2 linked regions of the Tribolium castaneum genome follow. The protein of the gene in region 1 purifies or fractionates together with the protein of each later gene. This does not show direct contact. Links are inferred from orthologs where the notes say so. Each region holds a gene or a part of one and is shown in the gene's direction. Other genes may lie near its edges. The genes, in order: Sin3A and Kdm5.

The links.
Region 2: the proteins of Sin3A (region 1) and Kdm5 purify together in Drosophila melanogaster (affinity purification with western blotting; 3 studies listed by BioGRID, with this or other methods). This does not show direct contact. The link is inferred for Tribolium castaneum from reciprocal best matches to the Drosophila melanogaster genes Sin3A and Kdm5.

What each region holds. Positions count from the first base shown.
Region 1 is NC_087396.1:24,661,569-24,665,956, reverse strand, and holds the start of Sin3A (paired amphipathic helix protein Sin3b), read left to right. Parts: upstream 1-1,504; 5' UTR 1,505-2,091; intron 2,092-2,171; 5' UTR 2,172-2,307; intron 2,308-4,388. Other genes in the region: sel (protein seele), read right to left, coding at 1-194, 252-336.
Region 2 is NC_087403.1:6,553,499-6,558,118, forward strand, and holds the start of Kdm5 (lysine-specific demethylase 5), read left to right. Parts: upstream 1-1,766; 5' UTR 1,767-1,912; intron 1,913-2,331; 5' UTR 2,332-2,357; coding exon 2,358-2,591; intron 2,592-2,784; coding exon 2,785-2,862; intron 2,863-2,909; coding exon 2,910-3,048; intron 3,049-3,096; coding exon 3,097-3,254; intron 3,255-3,301; coding exon 3,302-3,436; intron 3,437-4,620. Other genes in the region: UPF0746 protein DDB_G0281095, read left to right, coding at 1-447. UniProt on the Drosophila melanogaster protein: Histone demethylase that specifically demethylates 'Lys-4' of histone H3, thereby playing a central role in histone code. Does not demethylate histone H3 'Lys-9', H3 'Lys-27', H3 'Lys-36', H3 'Lys-79' or H4 'Lys-20'.

The sequences.
Region 1 (4,388 bases):
CCTTACATAATCGTCCATTTTCGTACAAATATCTTCGATCATTTCGGATAAATGAACCTCAGACTTGGCTTGAGAAACTGATTTGTGTCGATAATTGCCATCAGAGTCCAGTCTATAACCCCCAACGTCGACGGTTTTGGTTGGATCGATTTTATTCACAGCTTTGTGTAATTCGTCTAAACTAACTTTACAAACTGGAAATCATCACTAATTACAAAACACCATTACAACAAAAATCATTCATTCTTTACCTAAACACCTCAACTCTTGAGCATCAATTTTTTGTGCTTTTGTGTTGTAAAAAAAGAGTGTTACTAGAACTAGCGTTATTTTCATCTTATTGTCAGAACAATTTTGCACTTTTTCGGAATAAACTGGCAAGAATAATATTTTCGCGGCTCGCTTTCTTCAAAATAAAACTGGTTGACGTTCATAATTTTCTAATGACACGTTTCTACCTTCTGATTGGCTAAATTGGGCTTATGCTGATAGTGATGGCTGATAGTATTTGCTCCAATGGTATTTCCCGTAATGAAAATTATTTGAACCGAAAATCTTTCACAGTTATAATCCCGTGGTTTTTATAATGTAAAATTAAATCGATAAAATACATAACCAAACGGTCCAATAATACAGTTAGTTTTTGTAAGAATTATCTAATTGGGAATAATAATTGGATTAATTTGGGTTGAATTCTAACTAATTGGATGTTTCTGTTTTTTACGGTAATTTTTTACAAGTTTATCAGAAGTGTATTGGAGCCGTTTTGACTCGGAGCACAAACGTGACCCCATTTTCTTCAATTATTTATTGTCTGTCATAGAATAGAAGCACTGATTGAAGTGGGCAACCCAAAATACAATAAACCAAGTGAATTTATTTTTTTTTCAACTCTTATCTTTCTCAAAAAGCTCAAAAGCTCTTAAATATTAGCATATGGTATTTGTTTCAAGTTTCAGATTGCTACATAATTTTTTAAATGGAATTTATGACCTGTTTTAAATTTCCAATGTTCTCCATGCATCACTGTGTGTGTGTGTGTGTGTGTTTTTTTTTGATGTTTTGAATCCAAAAATGTGATTTTCAACTATTTTTATACACTCACTTCAGTTATTATTATTTTTTTAATTTTTCATTGTGGTTCTTATTGCCGAAGAGAGTGACTAAATTAATAATTAGTAATTAAAATGTGTCTTCTTGAGGTGTGTGTTATGCAGTAATGTTCACTGGATGTATATTCAACATAAAGTGGATTTATGAATTAATTGCATAGACAAGTTTTTTACTTGTTTTCAGATTTTTATTTAATTTTATATTTTTTATTAGCCTCTGCAGCCACGTAATCATTGGCACGAATACTTTTAGAAATTGTTTAGTTGATTAATTTCTTGTAGGTATAATTATTTTTAATAGTAATAAAAATGTTTAGGTGTAGTTTATTAATAATAATTAATAGACACAAAAAGAGTTTGAATCTTGATGTCCGGCTTAATAAGATTAATAACAGTCAGAGGTCAGTTTAAAACTTTTACATCTGCTACACGCTCAACTAATCCGAAAATGGGCACTACATTGTTCTTTGGCGGGTATTTTTAAAAATCGATAACAGCGCCACTGTTCTCTTCACATTGAACTATCAGAGCAAGCATCAAACAAACCTTTTACGGATCAGACAATTGATTCGAGGGGCGGTCGCTAGTATCCGAAACTGAAAAAATCCACAATATGACTAAAGTGTAATTTTTCTGGAATTGGGAGCTCATCCTGTGGCACGTCGTAATGTTTGTGTGTAGGTTTTGTGCATTTTGGTGATCAAAAACTTGAAAAATTTGAAAGTGGGCAAAGCGACCAACCACCCGAAATTGATGGACTCGTCCAAACAAGCTCGGAGATTTGAAGCAGCCAGTCAGTCGACAATCGGTCATCGTTTCGGGTGGTTCGGAACAGAATGTGTCAGAATTTTCTTTTGATGAATTCTAGTGTTTTCCAATTATTTCCCAGTGAAATCAGCGCGGATCGGTTGCAATTGTACGGTGCATCCCCGGCACCAGTCCGCACGGAAGCGCTTTCCGCGAAAGAGGCTTTTGTAAGGTGAGTGACATATTTTTAACTTTTCACATTGACACAAGTGTTGTGTAATTGCAATTCCCAATTCGGCGCCGCTTTTCCAGCATTTCCCATGGTTTTTCCGCGATTTCGGCGTCGGCGTTCCAAAATTAGCCTCCGTCGCGGGGGCCGGCACTCTCCCTCCGTGGAAATTTCGTCGGCCTGGCAACGCTTTTCCGCCGAAAATCTGCCGACCTTTCGGTAATTACGAAATTTCGATGCAACATTTTGTATTTGTTTACTGACAAAGAGTCGCGTCCGATTTTCGGCTTTATGCACTTTCGTGTTTGGGTCGCTTCGGTCGCAGCGCCTCGCACGTCCGGTTCCCTGCCCTTCCACTCGCCTATCGATTCCTTCATTGGCCAATCGCGAGCCTAGCTTGCTAGATCGCGGGAGCGAAGTCGACACGCAACGTTGCCACTGCCACAAATTACTCATGCACAAAGGTGTGGCAACGTTGCCACAACACAAATGCCGAAAAATGGCCACCAGAAACCGACACGTGACGAGATTTTTATGCGGGCTTTCTAAAACTTTGACGCGCGCCTTTTCAAGGTCATCCGTGAAAGTTGATTTACTGTTTGCATAAATGGTTTAGGGTATGGACTATTTATTTGGTTATCTCACGAGTGCCAAAATGATAAGAATTGTTACCCTGAGTTTTGTTTTGTTTTTTTTTCCGGGGAGAAATACCGACGCCATTATTGTCCGGAATGACGCGATAAGTAACTGCGTAGCAGTTCGTATAAACGCTACCGGTTTTGTTTATGCCAGAAATAAATAAGTGGGCGTGTCGTTTTGCGGATCAGCTGAATTGAAAATGTTCAACATGGGATCGAGAAATGTTCCATGAACGTTGTTGCCGATATTGTTGCAAATTTTCCTCGAATCTTATATTAAAACTTTAAAAATATCAGTGGTTTTGACTATGATGGACGAAATGTTGTTGGATTTTGTTTACGTAACATGTTATTTTGAGGTTATGTCGAAATAAAGTCATCATTTTGCTCTCCTAGCTTGTAAAAAACAGTATGGTCAAATTACATTTTTAAAAGCTTTTTTACATGTTTATTTCCACAAATTATTTTTTTGTCAAATACTAGTTTAGATTTTTGTTTTTACGATTTTTAGTAATTCTTGAATAACATTTTCGTGCTGGAATGAACATGTTTATATAAAATTTCAGAGGTAAGACGAGGGAAATAATTTGATAATTATTCAATCTGTAGGACGTGTTTCATAAGAGTAGTCTGTGCGAATTTTATTAAAACTGTAATTATGTGTCACATTGTGCTCTACTTTAATATTATTCATTTATCTACCAAATAAATAGGTAGTAAAATTATTTAAATTAGAGTTTGTCTCTGTTTTTAATTTAGGTATTATTATGTATGTTTTAAATTATAACGTTATAATAATTACTAACGGTGTATATTTATTTATTTGTAAGAAAAAGGTCAGAGATAATTACAAAAACTGATCTGACAGTAATAACATGCAGAAATAATGTTTGTACAGCGGTGGATAGAGGATAAAAATGGCAAATTGTTAAAAATTAATTTACATAATCACAATTATAGGTATTGGAAAATGAAAATTGGTTTTACATGTAATAAAAAATGTAATTTCTATTGGAAACCAATTTATAATGGAATGTTAAATAAAATGCTTACCGGTTATTATCATGGGTTATATATTTTTTGTCTAAAAAACATTGTATTTTTTCACGGAAATACAATATTCATAATATCTTCTGAAATTATTAATTAAACAAAAGGTAGGTAATTGTTAGGAATTCGATTAATGTAATAAAATAGCAGCATATCATGACACGAACACGTTTTTCTTAATCTTATCACAAAAGTGTAATAATATCAACCAGATGTCTCTCAACTCGAAAAGTGAAAAGTTTAATTGCCGTGATTTGTAATTATAAACTAATCAAATGGAAGTCTTCACACGTGTGTTAAAAAATGAAACTTGGTTAAATCACATTTAAAAAAAAACACAAATTTCGAAGAGACGTAAACCGTCACACTTGTTCAAACGAGTTTTAACCCAGCTCTTCAGTCTTTTCATAGAACAAAAATTAACGCCCATTATCAGCGTAATTGATTACGTTATGCGCATTAGCCCCTATCGAGCAATAATAACAGACGTCCCATTATTAAATGATGGCGACGTGTAAACATCTTTCGTATTATTTCACGAAAAACTTTAACATAATATGTAATAAAGGTTTTAAGAAAATACACATGATTTGACTACAGATTTTTTCATCG
Region 2 (4,620 bases), on another chromosome or scaffold:
CAAGAACTGCTACAGAAGAAGATGATATTGGAGGACCTGCAGAGGGAAGAGCTGAAGAAACAGCAGACGGAACAGCAAGAGAAACAACAGGAGGAGCAACAGGAGAAACCGCAGGAGGATCAACAGGAGAAACAGCAGGAGGAGCAACAGGAGAAACAGCAGGAGGAGCAACAGGAGAAACAACAGGAGGAGCAACAGGAGAAACAGCAGGAGGAGCAACAGAAAAAACAGCAGGAGGAGCAACAGGAGAAACAACAGGAGAAACAGCAGGAGGAGCAACAGGAGAAACAGCAGGAGGAGCAACAGGAGAAACAGCAGGAGGAGCAACAGGAGAAACAGCAGGAGGAACAACAAGAGGAAGTGCAGGAAAAACCAAAGGAGGATCAACAGGAGAAAGAAGAGCCGAAATTGGAGGAGAAAAATGACGAAGAAAACAAGGAAAACTAATGAATTTGATCAATTTGATTGCTTGTTACATCACATACTCTGTTATTATAAAGTATGTAACAAAATTGATTAAATAAATAAAAATATCATCCTTGTGTTTAATTACAAATTGTTACCAAATACTTCTTCATTAGTCCAAAAATTAATTACATAAAAAGTCAAATGCACAGAATTTCTAGAGAATGAGGCGTGTCTACTTTAAAATTTAAAAATTTCCCGCACAACGGTTTTGGTTTCGCTACCGGTTCACAGGTGGTGCTTATAATTTACATGAAATTGCATTACTTTTTTTATTTTTTTTATACCAAAAATTGTGTTAATAGGTAATGACCTAAAGACCTAACGCCAAACAAACAGCCAAACCTCCGCCACTGTTCATTAAATTTTTTTTTTGAAAAGTAAGTAATAAATCTAAAAATTTTGATTTTAAACTCGAGTGTTTCATTTAAAATTTGAGAAAAAATATTTTTTGAAAATTAACCAAAAAAATTAATTAGGTACATAAAAAATCAAATGTAATGTAAATCAGTTTAAAATTCTATTAATAATTTCAAAAATATGTCTTAATCAATTTTTTATTAAATCGCACAATTATGGTGAATTCATAAGTCAAGTATTTCTCCTATCGCATACAGACACAAATATTTTGATTAATAACGGAAGAGAGGTGTTAACATGCCGCCAATAGTGGACTTTTGAGTTCTAGTGCTCAAGTTCATAATTTCTGCTGGTAAGTCTTTTTATAAATTTCAGGGAGAATTATTAAATTACTTAGAAAATTGTAGTACTGCAGAGCAGAGGGTGATTTAAAATTGTGTGTAGTGTAGAAGAGGAATTAGATTTAAATTAACTTTTTTCAAACACAATCCATGATGCCGTATTAAATAGTGGTTATCTAGGAATTGTTTCTAAATCATTAAAATCTAAACAATTGCTTTATATTATTATTTATAAAACAAAAAATGCACACATAGAGTTGTTACAAATGATAAATTTCAAGGTTTGAACGAAAATTTGTTTTGGCAGACAATGACCTAATTAAATCTAACCCCGCCCCTTTCGCAATAGTCAAACCTCCGCCACTGTTCATTTCTATTATTTTGCAAAAGCAGCAATAAATCTAAAATATCGGGTTTAAACTCCTGTTGTTACGTAATAATAAAGCAGTGCTCCATTTCACAAATCTGATTAAACTTTTAACGAGAATGGACAATTCATAAAGGTCAACGGCAATCATCAGCCTAAGTGCTATGCAACCAATAATACAGGCCCCAGAAATAATTGCTGCACAGTAAGCCAGCGAATTGTTGGTCATGTCGATTGCTGTTCTATATTCTATGGAATAGCTGCCTTAGCTGGTTAGCTATGCGTCACGTACCTTTCTAGTTAACCTAAAAGTTGGTATTTATGGTGCAAAATGTTGGACGGAGGTGTTTGAGGCTGAACTAGGAGCAAAGTGCGTGGTGTAAGTAGGAAATGGGGTGTTTTGTGTAATCGGAGGCCGAATTTCGAATCTTCGTGTGTATTTATAAATTTCTGTGTAGACCATCTTTGTTATGTTGCTATTCACAAGATCCTCAAGCAATCGATGACGGCTGGTGGGGATATTATTACATGTAATGTTGTTGTGTTGGTTCAGAATGAAAAAAAATACTCGAAATTCGGGCAAGTTGGTGTAAAAAGTGTCCCAACGGGGTTCGGGAAGTGTGGGGTTCGCGAATCGGGTGAAATCGCCCCCTTTTCAATAACAAAACGTGATTATTGTGACGGCCAGGTATCGCACCTCGCTAATCTTCTGGAAAGTAACTTTTCCCGAGCTCTGATGATTAGGCCGTGACTTCCATCGTGTCTCGGTGCGAAAAGTCCATCGTGTTTTTCTTCCAGGACTTAATTATGTAAAATTACCCAAAATGACTACAAAAGTGGATAAACCCACCAGTCCTACTAAAAACCACGCGAAAAACACCAGCCCGAAGCAAGACTCGGGCTGTGGCTACAAAGAAGAGTGTTTCGAGTTCGAGCCTCCACCGGAGGCTCCCGTTTTCCACCCAACCGAGGAGGAATTCAACGATCCGCTCGAGTACATCAACAAGATCAGGAAGTATGCTGAGGGATCGGGCATTTGCAAGATCAAACCGCCTCCAGTAAGTCACAAAAGAGACCATCGAAATTATTTCGACTTTGTTAATCAATTCGCACCCGAATAGACTTTGAACCACTCTCAGGAACCTCGGCTATTTTTATTTAGAATTCCATTAGCAATCAAGTGAAACATGAGGTTCTATGGCTGCAAAGCCACCATGTTTGATAGAGGTTTAATACGAATATGTTTTCTAGAATTGGCAACCGCCCTTTGCCGTTGACGTTGACAAACTTAGATTTACGCCACGAATTCAGAGACTTAACGAATTAGAGGTATTACCCCGATTTAGCAAAGTTCGACTTTAATTCTGTTACCTTAGGCTAAAACTCGCGTCAAATTAAACTTCCTCGACCAAATCGCCAAATTCTGGGAACTGCAAGGTTCCACACTGAAAATCCCAATGGTAGAAAAACGCTGTATTGACCTGTACACGTTGCACAGCATTGTTCAAAGTCAAGGTAATTACAAATTGCTGGGTAATTTTTTGTTGGACTTTTGCTTATTAGGTGGTTTTGACCAAGTAACCAAAGACAGAAAGTGGTCGAAAATTTCGGTCTCTATGGGGTACCCATCTGGTAAGAGCATAGGGACCATTCTAAAAACGCACTATGAGAGGTTGCTTTACCCGTTTGATCTTTTCAAACAAGGCAAAACTTTGAATTTTGTAAGTAAAACTCTGGATTTGTTTTTTTTTCTACTGTAATTCTCTAGAAAATGACATCACCCTTAAATGAGGAAAGCGAGAAGGCTGATAAAGACTATAAACCGCACGGGATTGTGGGGCGAATGGCGATCAAACCACCACCTGAGAAACACGCTCGCCGATCTAAACGATTTGATGCCGACGTAATAATTTTAATTTTTTTATTAGGAAAAAGTTATTGGCGGTTAATGACCAAGCGCAATATTCATTTATTATTATTATTTTTATTATTAGCAGACACGAAGAGGTAAGTATCTGTTTGCATCTCGCGGGTAGAATCTGCGATAAGGTCGCACCTCTTGTCACTTGTTCAACGTTTTCTTATCTTCGAAGACGCAAATGGCAGCTGATACGAGGCGGTATCAAGGCACACCCACAGTGTTTATTTATTTGAGATATTGTAATTCAAGTTAATTCTTTCTGATATTGCATAAGAATTAATTTTTTTCGAGGAAACAAAACAAAAATTACATTACAGTTGTTACATGTTTTCGCATACTTAATTGACTTCAATTGTTTTCTTTCATTGACGAATTAGAAAAATTATTTTCTTAAGAATTACTGCACCACAAAAGAACAGTCGCAAAATTACAACTTGTAGGCTAATGAAAAAAATATTATTTCACACTAACCATTCTATGTCAAAATCTCAAGTTCTTTATTGTTCTTTCGTTACCAATATATCAACAAATAATTCTTATTTTGTTTTATATAATTTGAGAGTAGAGGGTTTAATGTTTATAAAACTTTTTTCCACTCAGCGATTGCAGTGAATCATTAGTGAAAACTCATAAATGCACTTTTGTTCGCGGATTTTTTTCCATTTTCATTTTAAACTCGCAGTTTAGCACATAACTTTCATTTCACATAGGTGGTACATATTAATACATGAATTGTGCAATTAAATTCTATTTAAAATATTTAATTTGTAATTAACATTTTTCCATTTGTACAAATATTGAATTAAAATTGAAAAAAATTAATTAATCTTCATGTTACGAGAATAATACGCAATTTTATTTGTAAACATAGAAGCGACAACGAAAAACGCACATTTTACATATTTTGAGACACAGCTTAAATTTCCAATTCCTTAAAAAAACAACGCTGATGTATTGAAATATAAAGAATAATTTGCCGAAACCTTAAAACGATTTTGGTTTCCTACCTTTTGGAATCTTGCAATCACAATTAAACGCACGGCCCGACGAGTTTTGACCGATGATTACTTGAAACTGAGGCAAATGTAACTATTAGCCTTATCTCAGGCCGCAAAAAATTGTTCGGGAATAAATCGACAAAAAGTTTATTATTCATATTAACGGAG